Schizosaccharomyces pombe: one gene and its partners. The gene in region 2 interacts genetically with the main gene of each other region. Each region holds a gene or a part of one and is shown on either strand. Other genes may lie near its edges.

Region 1 (3,991 bases), on a different chromosome or scaffold from region 2:
AAAATGCCTCTGAAGATTATGCAATTGAACCATCGGATCTGGAAGAAGAAGTTGATCAATTGTAACGATTTCTGAAAAAGGAAAACATAACACTATGATTTTATTCGTTTGCTGCTGCTGTCAAAGCCTTGCGTTGGTTCGCCTTGACCTAATGTCAGCTAAAAACTTCTAAACAACTTTATATAAACCAACTTAACATATTTTAGCAGTTACAATCAAAAGAATTAATTACCTAAGTTCGTGGGTTACTAAATTGAAAATGAAAATAAGGAAATTTTTACAAAGAATCAATTATATATAATCCAAAACCCTAAGTTCAATAATATAACAGCGATGATACATATCCTTTAGTCAAGCCACTTACTGGGTTGGACATCCTGCAGTTTCCATAGAATTATCAATCAATGGAGCTGGAAGCGGCTTTTCCTGTATTTCTTCTACCAGTTTCGAAATGATATCTGCATCTTTACGAGCATCATATTCGGGACTCTCAAAAATTTGAATACATTTCTGAATTTTCTGGTACTGTTCTTCAAAACCTTGCTTCTCTGTCTCCTTCGCATTCTTTAAAAACTTAGGATAGTTTGCTTCAAGATCTTTAAGGGGTTCATACAAAATCTCTTTACTGGTAACTTGTGACATTAGGGAGTTTAAGGCAGCCTCTAAAGCACCATAGTTAACGGCTCCATTATCCGAATCTTTTTCCGTTGCAAACTGATCCTCTAATATAACATTGAGTAACTGATCATTCTGAAAGCTAGACGAAAGTTGACTCCCATCCAAGCCAGACGGTCCCCCTAAGTCTTCAAATTTGCTCATCATTTCTTGAATAAGTGAATTCAAATTATCGTCATTCTTTATCCTCTCATTCTCTTTTGATGTATTACCGGTTTGTTTATGCTCATCTATGTTTTTCTTCTCTTCGTTCTTAAATGCACTGGGTACATCTAAATCATCTAGGATATCTTTGTTTTGTTAGTTGTTTCCTTTTAATGTAAAGTCCTTTCTACCCTCTCATTATTTTTTATATTTATGCAATGCAAAATTCACTTGAACGAAATATCGTAATACACAAATCGTAGTCAGGACATTACCGATGTTCCATACCATCCAAATCATCAAGGTCGTCAAAATTCGGCTTTGTGTTGCTTTTTGTATTTTCTTTACGGTTTTCGTCTCCCTCAATAGTTGGATTTGACATTCCGTTTATATATCAGATGTCAGCATACGTTTGTCGTTTTTCAAAAGCCTCTTGCAAGTTCAATTATCATGTAATTCACAAAATAAATAAAAAAGTAGTAAGTTCAAAAAAAATGAAAATTTGGAACTGCCAAAAAAAAATAATAAAGTGCTTCTCTATTATTTTTCATGTAGGTAAAACCGTAGTGATCGTTGTTTATCAAAGTATATCAGCGTGAAAACGTTCAAGTGCATTAAGATGCGTTATTTGGTTTCAAATTTGACGCAATTTTAAATCTTCAAACAACAAATTTAATGGAATTTTTTTTATTTACTGGATGTATGAATCGTTTTAATTATTCATTGTTTGTGTATCTGGTATGAATCGAGTACGAAATTAACGATCATAAAATCGTCGACACAAGAACGTAAAGTCTACCCCCTGCTTTTATTACTTGCCTATGATCAGTTGAAATGAAGCTTTGTTTTCATTTTTAGCATCACCAATAAGTTAGAATTGACTACTGTTTACCAACAACAATTAGTTAAATAGTTATTGACTATAACATTGATCCATACGCACAATTACTTCGAAAAAAATTATTATTTTGCTCTTCCAACTTAACGATTTTCTGTACTGCGTTAACATATTATTGTAGGCTTGACACTCAGCTGCGGTGACATTATATTAAATAAAATGTAATTTTTTCAGTAAACAAATTAAGGAATTAAGTAATAGTTTGGTAACGTCTCATGAGAAGAAAACTCTTGAGCCACTAAATTGTTCTTACCATTTTCCATTATCTTTTTTAAGAAATCGAGGTTCTAATTGAGCTGGTATTGCGGGCAATAGAGCTTCTTGTAATATAGAAATTATAATCGACGGTTTTATTTCATTTGGGCTGAGAAAAAAATTAAATTGCTAGCTTTCATAAGTCGATACACTGAGCAATAGCCATCCTTCCGGCTTTTAAAAAAGGAAGCTCATTAACAAAGTATCCTCTATCTTTGTTTTATTGTTACTACTTTTGAAATTTTTTCCTCTTTCTTTTGGAATATCCATTTCTTTGTAATTTTCATTTTCTTTGTTATAATTAATCAGACGATTTCACGTTTGAAGTTGGTATCTTTATTTGTTGTTACTGTTCATTTCCTTAATTCATGGAGACCTTATCTTATTCTCAGATTAAGAAACGCAAAGCTGATTTTGACGAAGACATTTCTAAGCGTGCTCGTCAACTACCTGTGGGTGAGCAACTGCCATTGTCGAGACTGCTACAATATTCAGACAAACAACAGCTTTTTACAATTTTATTACAATGTGTAGAAAAGCATCCTGATCTCGCACGTGATATACGGGGCATATTACCGGCGCCGTCCATGGATACTTGTGTTGAAACGTTGCGTAAACTTTTAATTAACTTGAATGACTCATTTCCCTATGGTGGTGACAAGAGGGGTGATTACGCATTTAATAGAATTCGTGAAAAGTACATGGCTGTCTTACATGCGCTTAATGATATGGTTCCTTGTTATTTACCTCCATACTCTACTTGTTTTGAGAAAAATATTACTTTTCTTGATGCCGCTACAAACGTTGTCCACGAACTGCCAGAATTCCATAATCCCAACCATAATGTTTATAAAAGTCAAGCGTACTATGAATTAACGGGCGCGTGGCTTGTTGTTTTAAGACAACTTGAGGATCGGCCTGTAGTCCCTTTACTACCTTTGGAAGAGTTGGAAGAGCACAATAAAACATCACAAAACAGAATGGAAGAGGCATTAAATTACCTTAAGCAATTACAAAAAAATGAGCCACTTGTACATGAAAGAAGTCATACTTTTCAACAAACAAATCCACAAAACAATTTTCATCGTCATACTAATAGTATGAACATTGGGAATGACAATGGAATGGGTTGGCACAGTATGCATCAATATATTTAAAAACTAGAACAGAAGGCCTATAAGGAAACATATAATGGCTAATAGGAAAGCGGTTTGCACAGTAACTGTGTTATGAATTTGAGGAACAACCTTGGCACCACTAGTCGGACGCCCAAAAGACGATGAAACGCGTGCAAGTCCTATTTGATTTCCACTGTTTCCAGCGAACATAGATGGACTCGTAGCTGTTGATTGTCTTGTGTTATTAATTACATTAGCGGTAGATCTTAATGCATTATTTTCATTGTTAGGAGAAGTGGTAGTAGGCACTGACTGAGGCTTTGGGTAAGGTTCATTTTCAGCGACTGTTGCAGTAGGAGCTTTTACGGCAGTAGATGGGGCTTCATGGGGCTTCTGGTGAGAAACTGCAGATGTTTTAGGAAGCTGGGTATGCTGTGTAGTAGCTGTAGATGGAGCAGCTACGGGATTTGCATGGGTCGAAGGAAGTGCCGTTCCGTCTATTCCTTTAGAGTAAGATTGATTAACATTACCATTTACTGTGGTATAATTGTCAGTGGCAGAAGTAGGAATAGATGTAGTCGTTGTTTGAGCTGGTTGATGGTGAGCATTAGCATGAGCATTTGCAGTACTGGGGCCTTCACTATAAACACATCGAATTTTTCGTTCCGATATATTAGCCTTGCTGACTTGAGTCCACTATTAAAGTATTGGTTAGAACATCAATTATGTATGGCATGTATTAAAAAAGTAAATGTAAGTATATCTTTTATCACATACAATATCTGCTATATCCATTCCCTGTAATTCTGGCTTCAATTCAGTGCTCTGGACCAAAAATTTATCGCGGCATTTTGTGCCAGGAGCCGGTTCGTGATCTAGAGGCTGTAGGATAACTATTAAA
Region 2 (3,354 bases):
AGTTCCCGAGCGCGCTTTTTCGTAAGCATCTCTCGCTTTTTTGAAAGTGTCGCTTTCACTTAATGATCCTGAACTATCTTGCAATGCTTTGACACTGTCCTGTAATTCCTGGCTCTTCTTTAATTCTGCTCTAAATGTATCCATGAACACCTTGATTGGCGATTGAGGTGCTGCATTTTGAGAGAATATAGACGTTTGGAAAAACCGCTGGCATTGAACTATTGTGCGGGCATTTTTTGTGATTTTTCTTGATAGAAACATTTTCTTTCCTATTGAATAAATAAATCTCAACGCTATTACGCGAAAATTAATCCACTTTGCTGCCTTTTATTGCAAACCGATATAGCAGCCTAGTGAGTGGTGGATGGAAGGTTCAAGTGCCACAAAGGTGGAAAGATACCTTAATCCTAAATATCGAGAAGTAGTCTTTTGTTAACAAAAGTTAGCATATTCTCTTATATTTGGACTTTTTTACTTTACTAAGAGGAGTTTACGATTAGAATTTTTACGAATTCGCTCATTTTATCTGAAATGCAACTATTAAAATATTGATATAGAGGGAAGCATAAATTACGCATGATCCTAATATATTAAAGAATAAGAGTACCGATCAATTTCCTTTCGTATTGGTTGAAACAGTCGTAGCTGTTGCTTACAATATTGTTGGGAATCGATACCATGTGGGTGGTAAGAGATCGTATGAAGTTATGAAAAAAAGTATTCAATAAGCAGCATAGATATATTACAATGCGTTATATAGAACTGGATAATTTGAGTATGTAGCGGGTTTTGGAGATAAAAGCAATAGTATTAATTAGCATTTTGAAGTTTCGTTTATTCATTTGTAGAGATTTTTCAAATCTAGAAAAATTTAAAGATCTCTTAATTTTGTATCTTTTTTTTTTTTTTTATCAGTTTGATAGAATGTTTGTATGTAATTCTTTCTAATAACATGCGACGTTTGTTGTGCCCCTAAGTTTCTTTGATGAAATTTATTTGAAAATAAGGAAGTAGCTGGTTTATACAGAATTCAAAAGGCGCATTTAAGTTGTAGTAAACCTCGAATTTTTCTGATGATTAATGTGTTTCATGATTTTTTATGAAAACAGTTGTTGAAGCTCCTATATTATTTATCACAGGTTGTAAATTTTCAGCTTCAATAACGAAATGGGATACTTAAAGTCATAACTGATCAATTTTGGCAGACAGATCTAGCTTTAAAAGCTTAGATTCATTCAACATCAAGTTTATACGAAATGATCAGTTGTAATACACTTCCAACTTTTCTGATAATGATTCAGAATGATTACAACATAGTATAGTTGGAATGTAAAATTATTTGTTTCATGAAGAACTGGTTTTCCATCTTGAACACTAGACGATAAAAGCAACCTGAATATCATAAATCATCTTCAATCCAATTAAGCAATTCAAAAACAAAACAAAACAATTTATTATGCATTTGTAAAAGTAAAAATTTAAAAGGTGATCATATTTCTTCAAATTATCGCTTTGTTTACTATTTTAAATTGTGCAGGTCACAATTGAATGTCACCTGTGAAATAATAAACCAGCCTTGGACTATAGACAACGATGTTGCCAAGAACCATGTTTTCATATGGAAAAGAAAACGCTTTTCCTGTAACTCCCATATCAAACAGAAATGGTACAAAAGGAGCGGGCTCCAAAAGAGCACCATTGGGGTCTACAAAGCAGTCGAATGCACCTTCTTCTGTAACGGTTCCTAGAACGGTACTGGGAGGTAAGAGTACTAACATTTCCAAATTTATTTCTGCTCCCAGTACAAAGAAAATGTCTCCTATGGATATTTCGATGGATTCCCCTACTATTTTGGAGCCAAACTCACAAGGAATTTCCCGATCAGCCGTACAAGAGCGGTCGAAGCGACTTTCGGCTAGCCCTCGTCGTTCCTCTTTAACAGACACTCCTTTACCAAATGAACTTGAAGAAGATATCGAATATATGCCTCCTCCTGTTCATTTGGACCCCATTCAATCCCTGGGGTTTGACGACGTTGCAATTGATTGTGAAACGCTCGATCCTTGGCCTAGCATGCAGAATAAGGCTACCTCAGTAACTATTCGTAATACACCTGCATCAGATTTCCATGTTTACAAGGAGTTCAGTGATGATGATCCTATACAATTTCCTCTGCTCAGCGTAGACGGTGACTCCCCGTTAACAGAAAAGGATACTAACCTGACAACACCCGCTACCTTGAAAGCTTCTGATCAACAAAGAAAGGTTCTCGAAAAGCCTTCTGTCAGCAAACAATCCTCTTCCAGAACACGACTCAGTACCGTTTATCGCACCAAGCTGGCATCTGGTAAATCCATCCCTCGACCCTTATCTCATAAACTCACACGACCCCGAGTAACTGCATCTGGCAATAGCCGTCGGCGCCCTTTATCTCGTTCTATTCATTCGTTATCATCTTCACGAATTGATTTTTCATCTTTGGATACAGGATTGTTATAAAAAGATTCCGAATTTTCAGGTTTTGTGCGTACTGGCTTCCGCTTCTACGATTGTAAGTATGATTCTTCCGATGGCTTTGATTTCCCTTGTTGTTTAATTTGTTTCACCACTTTAATGCTGTTCTTTTTTTTTTTTTTTTTACTTAAATGCATAAAGCCTATACGGTCCTTAATTTATGACATGTTTTTCGTTCATGACTTTTCTGTACAAATGATTTCCTTTTCTATATGCTTTTTTTTTTTTGGCTTTTCTGGTTCAATATTTTACTATTGTAATGTAGATGAATTATGTTAATAATATTGTTATTTTCATTCTACGTTGATGAATATTATAAATACTAGTAGGTAAGATGCTGAGGAATAGAACATTTTCCAGTGTTAGTAGTAGTAAAGTGACTGATAAAGAGCAAAGGTATCCAAAAATTTTGGCTACACATAAAAATATGTACTAGGTCAAAGACAAATTTCTGTGTTTTACAGCAGATGCACACATTCCAAAAAAAATTAAGATGATTGAAAAAAAAACACTATATAAACGAAAACTAAAATGATCATCTAAAAAAAAAAAGGATGCAAATTAGCACAAAACAATTATATCAGCTACTTCTACTACAACAACAGTTTACTTTAATACTAATAATAAATAAACACGCAACCTGGCAAATTAATCCAAAACGCAAAAAGGATAAAAATTTCATTGCATTCTATAAAAATAAACATGTATTGTAAACATTAGTAAAATTTAATGTATGCTCAGAGTTTAAAACTTAGCAGCCTTGATGTACTTGCCAGCATGGGCACCAGCGTAAACACCCTCGGAACCGAGTTCCTCCTCGATACGGAGAAGCTCGTTGTA
Region 3 (6,953 bases), 340 kb from region 2:
TGTGCAACCAAACATATCCATCAACTCCCAAAGTCTTGCCAGAAAACTCCTCGACATGAGAGCTTTTCTGCATAGGCTTCAAAAGTCCCAAAAGACCTTTAATTCCCATGTTTAAAGCATTCGTCAAGCACCAAAAGAATGCAGGTGCGTTATCGAGATGTTGGTTCTGTAACAGTTTTAACGTAGTACCCTTGGAAGTGTGTTGTGTATCTGATCAACAAATATATTCTTGCAGTCGATAGGCCCAAAACGAACAAGTATAAAATTTACTTTATCATTAAGAAAGGATAAATATAAAAGGCTTTGTTATTGTTTATGTGTGAAATAATTTAAGGAGCCGGCTATCATTGTTTGAGTATGCTGGTGTACTTCTTTTCTAAACATCTATTCAATCGAAATCATTAAAATCATGATAATACTATAAGTAAGTTTTTTTCTTTAAAGTTCTTTGTTTGAAATCTATCGTGATTGTTAACTAAGACTACGGTGAATCAATCAACCATTACCAAATCATTGAATTTAGCTGTATGAGGAAAACTCAAGCGCAAAATTAATATTTTAAAGTTCTATAAGCTGCGGTTTTAAAAATGTAGTGCGGTTAGCATCTAGTTGGGTTTAAACATATTTTAAACTATTCGTCGCTAATAAAACGTTTATTCTTAAAAGTATTCTTGCTAGTTTGTGACTGCAAATACTGTTAAACTAAAAAGGAAAATGCAATAGTTAGTTTCCGGAGAAAGCCTTCTAGAATAGTAGAGACTTCTCAAAATTGTATGCAGCCAAATTCATTAGTTAACAAACAGTCAAGGGGTGAGCCGAATCGTCTAAGCGTAACTGCGTTACTGGAATTATATTGAAAACATTAACCTCACTTAAACCCAACTTCCTTGAAACTAGGGATTAAACATAAACGTAGCTGACAATTGTGACTTATAATTAATGTTTCTATCATTAGCCCAGTCAATTCAGAGACAAAATCAATTAAGGACATAAAGAAAAAGCGTTGTAAATTAAAAAAGTCCTTGATCAATTATAGAAGGAAACTTAAAACAATTAAAATTAAATTCGTTAGAAATAAATAAATTACGCAAATATATATTTGCCATCCCTATTAAACATAAAGTATTCTTAGAATATATTAACACAGACATTAAGCAGCATATCACAGGTTAATATTATCATTTACTCCACATAACCTTCCAACTGTTTTTCGTTAGTATTTTAAAATTAAGAAAAAGTAATCCCTTACGTTGATTGATAATGTTCGTGAAGAATTCTCCTGTTGATCTCTATAAATACCCACTAAAGCTTCTGATTTACTGAACAACTGATTTTTCAAGGAAATGACAACAAATTGAAAACCGCTGGATGCATGCTGTCTAATATAGTTGGCAATCTTGGTAACGTTGGTTTGATCCAAAGCTGCATCAATTTCATCCAATACAAAAAATGGGGATGGCTGATAAGAGTGGATAGCAAATAGCAGAGCCAAAGCAGCCATGGTCTTTTCTCCTCCAGAAAGTTGATCCATATCTCTAAATCTCTTCATAGGTGGCATTGCATGGAACTTGATTCCTCCAAGATATGGCTCATCGAGGTCATCCAAAGTCAAATACGCTGTTCCACCAAGAGGAAAAGCAGGACTTTTGGTAAGTTCCTTATATATTGGATCGATTTGTTCCGAGATATGCGAAAAGGCAGCTTGAAATTTTTGCAATCTCTTTTGCTTAACGGCATTGAAGCGTTCTTTTGCGTTTTTGGCTGCTTTACGAGCAGCAGCAAATTCTTCATCTAACTTCGCCAAGCGAGTTTCTACTGTTTCAAGTCTCTCAATAGCCCTTAAATTAGGAGACATCTGATCCAGCTCTTCCGAATACTCTCTCAATTTTTCTTGAAGAACAGAAGCCATACTCTCAGAACCGTCATTGCGTAACTCTTCATCCAGTTCATCGTAATCCACTTCTACTCCAAATTTCTCAAAATTTATTACTGGTTCAGACGGCTCTTCGCCCATGGTGATATCACCGCTGTTTGAGACATCATCTATAGGTATGCTCGTCAAAGATCCTTCGCGTAACGGAACATCTATATCTTCTAGTTTGCATTTTCGTAAAATTGCGTGCCATTCAGATACATAGCGGTCAATCTCCGATTCTAAAAGAGTAATGTTTCCTGATAACTTTGTTAACTCAGACACTAATCGTTTGCCCACTAGCTTTTTCTCGGATGCAGCTAATAAAATTTTTTCAGTTTTAGAGTTCTCACTTGCAAAATCCTCCTTTAATAATTCAAGCTCAGCCTCGGCAGTTGCAACTTCTGATTCAAGTGCTTCCCGATTTTGCTCGTAATTATCAATAGATTCCTGATCTTTTTCAATGAATTTATGCATACGCTCTAATCGTAACCTGGTATCTGAAACACGTTGTTTTTCAAAACTAATACGATTTTCAAGTAATGATTTTTGCTTGGTGAATTCGAGTTGTTTTTGTGTAAAACTTTGAGTAAAAGTGCGATGTATCTCATCGTAAGTATGTATATCACTTATCCCAATTCGTTTGCAAAACCCGGAGAATATCTTTTCCTCAACCTTTTCTACTTGAATTTGAAGCTCATCTCTACTTTTAACAAAGTTGCGAAGTTCCATTTCCAATTCTGACAAGTGAGGCTGTTTTTCTTTGATTAAAGATTCGTAATGTCCAATTTCCTTTTTTTTGTCTTCCACGGATCTAGAAACTACTGTATATTTGTCTTTGAGTAGAGATATCTCAGATTCAAGACTATGCAACTTGACAGTATCACTTTCTGTAATCACACAAGATGACTTTTGATATTCTATTTCACCAATTTGATGCATAAGTCTATCTTTTGTTTGAGTAAGCAGATCAAAATCATGGTCATCCCAGTGTTTCGCCGACCGGTTGTTTGAAGATCCACCAGTAATCAACCCTGTTTTATGTATAACCGTTCCCTCTAAAGTAACTGTCTTGGCATTGAGACGTTTGTTATAGGAAAGGTCTCGAGCAACAGTCATTGAATCACAAATGAGTGTATTTCCAACTGCACTAATCATTACACGTTCATATTCAGACTCAAAATTCAAAACGTCAATTGCAAGTCGGGCGCCTTTGTGTGTTCCACGAAATTTTTGATTAACGGGACTGGCTGCTATGGTGTCCATTGGAAAAAAGGTCATAATACCTATGCGTTGCTCTTTTATATAGTCAATACACTCTTTAGCAACTGCCTGCGTTTCGACGACAATTGCGTCAAAATTTTTGCCTAAAGCAGCAGCGATTGCGCTTTCATATTTCTTTTGAGTAGGAGTACATAAGTCAATGATTCTTCCTTTGACTTCAGGATATATCCTTTTCAAAGCATACAATGCTTCTCTTTTTTTAGCATCCTGTTTGGATTCATTGCGGTCGGCACTTGCCTCTAAAATTTTCTGTAAACAAGATTGAAGCTCTTCATTTAATTCTTGTGTTTTATGAAAAAGCTCAGAATAAGTCAACCTCTTCTTCTGCTGATCATGCTTTTCAAGTTCCAAACTTTCAATCTTTTCATTTATTTTAGCAAGCAAATCCGCTCGCTCGGTATCAAGAGAAGAAACACTTTCATGAAGGCTTTTAATCTTCGACTCTAAGTCTCCAACGATGCTCGTTAATGAATCCTTTGATTGAGAAGTAACTTTAATATTCCTATTTAACGTCTGCAATTTGAACAATAGATTTGAGTTTAATTTGTCCGCCTCACTTCGAAGTCCTTCATACTCCTCTTTATCCTCTGGTAACAATCGCAACCCTTTGAGTTGCTCTTTTTCCTGCATGTCTTTTAAAAACTCTTTTTCAGCAGCTGAGAGTGAAGTCAATTGATTTTCTAATACTTGTAACGTACTAGCTTGGTCAGAATAATCTTTTTCTATTTCCGCAGCTTTTCTTTGAATTTTTCGGAGATTTGACTTAGACTCTAGGGCTTTCTCGGCAATTGAAATGAGCTCTGGACGTTTCGAAGCAATCAACTTTTCTTGTTTTCGAACTTTTCTATCGAATGCAAGAAGGTTTCTTCGTATACTGCCCTCTTTTTCTTTCAACTTTTCTATCTCTTTAGTGTTCTCATCTCGCCTTTCGATAAGTTGAATGGAATCTGCCTTTAATCGAGTAACCTCTGCCATATTAGAACTAATACTTTTCTCTAGATGAAAGAGTTTCCATAAAAGGTAAACTAACTGCGCAGAGTCTCGTTTTTCTTTTTGACTTTGATAACGCTCGGCTTCAGTTTTCTGTTCTTGATATTGGCGTAACTCAGCGTTGATACCACGTTTCTTGTTAAACGAATGAGCAGATAAATTTACAGCCTTGTCCTGCTCGTCTTTAGATTTATCGTACTCAGATTTATATTCCAGAGAGCCACTTATTTGTTCAACAAGCTTTGAAAGTTCTAAAGGAGATTGCGAAGCAATGGTTTCAACATCACCTTGAAAAACTAAGAAATTTCGAGCTCGAACAAGAATATTCTCCTTTTGGAGAGATCCGCAGTATTCAGAAAACGTAACTATTTCTTCATCAATTTTGTATTCAGTAGCACCAGAAGGAGTGATTGCGCGTTTATACTCTCTTTGCTCCCCATTATCCAACTCATACATAAGTTTCACATATGCTGTAGTAGGATTACTAGAATCAGTGAAATCTGTATTATCTCTTTGCAGTATTTTCCCCCGATAGATCAGTTCTTTAACATTAGTTGATCGTAAATGAGAAGACTTGACCCCTAAAACAAAAGAAATGGCATCCATTAAATTCGATTTTCCGGCTCCATTAGGACCGATAATCGAGGTAAAGTCCTCAAAAGGACCTATAATTTGATGTCCTCGATAAGACTTAAAGTTTTCAACTTCCAGTCTTAGTAAACGTCCCATTAGGAAAACTTGGTAAAAGGAATGTACAAGGTGTGTATGAAACTCGCGTACGCGTCTTTACTTGATTAGATATTGTTACCTACTCATTACGATTACATCTCATAAAGTTTCAGAAATCCACGATATAATATATAGTGCAACTTGATATTCACTGTAACAAGAACCTCGTTATTATGATATTATCCTTCCAGCGAATTACTATTCTAAGCTGCATAGCCCCTGCCTATATATGTACGATGCATCGTTATTGAAAGAAGTTTGCTGCATATAAATAGGAAGAAAATTGATGATAACAACATCCGTTTGTTTCATTATTAATGAATTTGTGGTACTCCAATCACCAGTTAAAAAATATGGCAAATAATTTCAAAGAAAATTCTCGTCAACTGATATTAACTCAATCATAATATAGATGAGCCATAAAATATTAACATTAATATCGTAATGCAATGTAGCAGTAATATTATATAATCGTAGTCAGGTAAAATATATAACAAATCACCATATTAACCCATTCGCAAAAAACTTTGATGTTTAAGCTACTCAGATCAATCAGTACATATCTTGTTAGAACTAAGGAATTAAATTATTCAATTATATAAGCGTTAAGATGGATGAATAATAGATTGGTGAGACAGATTTGGGATAGTGATGTATATAATAGAATATTAACATATAATTTACGAACTCTCCTTTATCCTCTTTATTCGATCAGAGCGTCCGTTAAAACAACTTACGCACGGTTTTTAGCCTCCCTTAGGCTTGTTATTGATATTCGCAGCATTGTCTATGAATAGTGAAAGTGTTGATTCAGATGTCGCGGCCTCTACTAGTAATAAGGGAAATGAGTTATGTAGCTCTTCCACTGACATTACGTCTTTATCAGTGAGTTCCCCGAATGAATCGGTTATTCATTCCAGTCACTCTGCAAGTGAAGCTGATGAGTACGTTTGCAAATTAAGTTATGAGGGTAATAGAAAGAAAAGAATTTATAATGGCTCTGCTGAAGCGGGTAAAGAAAAGAAGCTTCAAAAACAGCGGGCCCAAGAGGAAAGGATTCGACAAAAAGAAGCAGAGCGTTTAAAACGTGAAAAGGAACGTCAACAACGAGAGCAAGAGAAAAAGCTAAGAGAACAGGAAAAAATCGCCGCTAAGAAAATGAAAGAATTAGAGAAATTAGAGAAGGAGCGGATTCGATTGCAGGAACAACAAAGGCGGAAGGAGGAGAGGGATCAAAAGCTTCGTGAGAAAGAAGAAGCACAGCGCCTTCGTCAAGAACAAATCCTTAATAAGGAAAGACAACAATTGAAGTTAAACAACTTTTTCACCAAAGGAGTTGAGAAACGAATCGCGCCAAACGAAAATTTTGTAGCTGACAAAACGGATGAACTGAATGAGTTTGAGAAAGAGTTTCGCCCTTTTTTTATAAAGCATCAGATGTCCCTTTCCAAATATCCATCTCCGAACGAATCTGATTCTTTTTTGGATGAAGTCCTCTCAACCTCTAAATCTTATCCTTTAAAGCTAAACGACATTTTTACACCATCAGATGCTGTAAGCTCCGCAAACAGTTTAGGTGTTAGTAATAGAAATTCCGAAAACGAGGTTCGACAATTAATGAGCGCATATCAAGATCCATCTGTTTCAAAACCTCAAGAAATTTTATCTTGTTTATCACAGATTCCTATTAAATTCATTTTCTTTTATCAGGATGTTCGCCCTCCATATTTTGGATCTTACACGAAAACCCATTCCCATGGTTCTAACGTTTTATTGAATCCCTGGCTTGAAGATGAAGACATAGACTACACATATGATTCAGAAGCAGAATGGGTAGCTGATGAGGAAGATGATGGAGAAGATTTAGAAAGTGAAGATGAAGAGGTAGATAATTCCGATGATATTGTAGAGGATGGTGATAATGCTTTTGTGGATGATGAGGATGATGACAAGGATAGTGTCAATGCTTCTAATACCCATCGTTCCTCCGGCCCATTAGAGGTAATCGTAGAAGGTCCGGTTTGGGATTCAAAGTTTC

Evidence for each region. Genes that interact genetically often act in the same process or in processes that back each other up.
Region 1: of cut2 (region 2) and cut8, extra expression of one is lethal in a mutant of the other (dosage lethality), as found in Schizosaccharomyces pombe (3 studies listed by BioGRID, with this or other methods).
Region 3: of cut2 (region 2) and psm1, a mutation in one rescues a mutant of the other (synthetic rescue), as found in Schizosaccharomyces pombe (one study listed by BioGRID).

What each region holds. Positions count from the first base shown.
Region 1 is NC_003424.3:4,475,510-4,479,500, forward strand, and holds cut8 (nuclear proteasome tethering factor Cut8), read left to right. Parts: upstream 1-1,968; 5' UTR 1,969-2,340; coding exon 2,341-3,129; 3' UTR 3,130-3,132; downstream 3,133-3,991. Other genes in the region: protein dhm2, read left to right, coding at 1-65; protein Pex19, read right to left, coding at 361-965, 1,108-1,201; scs22 (VAMP/synaptobrevin-associated protein family protein), read right to left, coding at 3,133-3,786, 3,868-3,983. UniProt on the Schizosaccharomyces pombe protein: Together with nucleoporin alm1, tethers the proteasome to the nuclear envelope. Involved in ubiquitin-mediated protein degradation and facilitates the degradation of nuclear proteins like mitotic cyclin and cut2. Required for normal progression of anaphase.
Region 2 is NC_003423.3:2,202,461-2,205,814, reverse strand, and holds cut2 (securin cut2), read left to right. Parts: upstream 1-1,598; 5' UTR 1,599-1,608; coding exon 1,609-2,499; 3' UTR 2,500-2,815; downstream 2,816-3,354. Other genes in the region: TIM23 translocase complex subunit Tim44, read right to left, coding at 1-261; eno101 (enolase), read right to left, coding at 3,259-3,354. UniProt on the Schizosaccharomyces pombe protein: Regulatory protein, which plays a central role in chromosome stability. Probably acts by blocking the action of key proteins.
Region 3 is NC_003423.3:2,538,705-2,545,657, reverse strand, and holds psm1 (mitotic/meiotic cohesin complex ATPase subunit Psm1/Smc1), read right to left. Parts: upstream 4,943-6,953; 5' UTR 4,916-4,942; coding exon 1,250-4,915; exon of another isoform or gene 1,204-1,249; coding exon 1,183-1,203; 3' UTR 501-1,182; downstream 1-500. Other genes in the region: exonuclease I Exo1, read right to left, coding at 1-109; histone H3-H4 chaperone, CAF assembly factor (CAF-1) complex subunit A Pcf1, read left to right, coding at 5,705-6,953. UniProt on the Schizosaccharomyces pombe protein: Involved in chromosome cohesion during cell cycle and in DNA repair. Central component of cohesin complex. The cohesin complex is required for the cohesion of sister chromatids after DNA replication.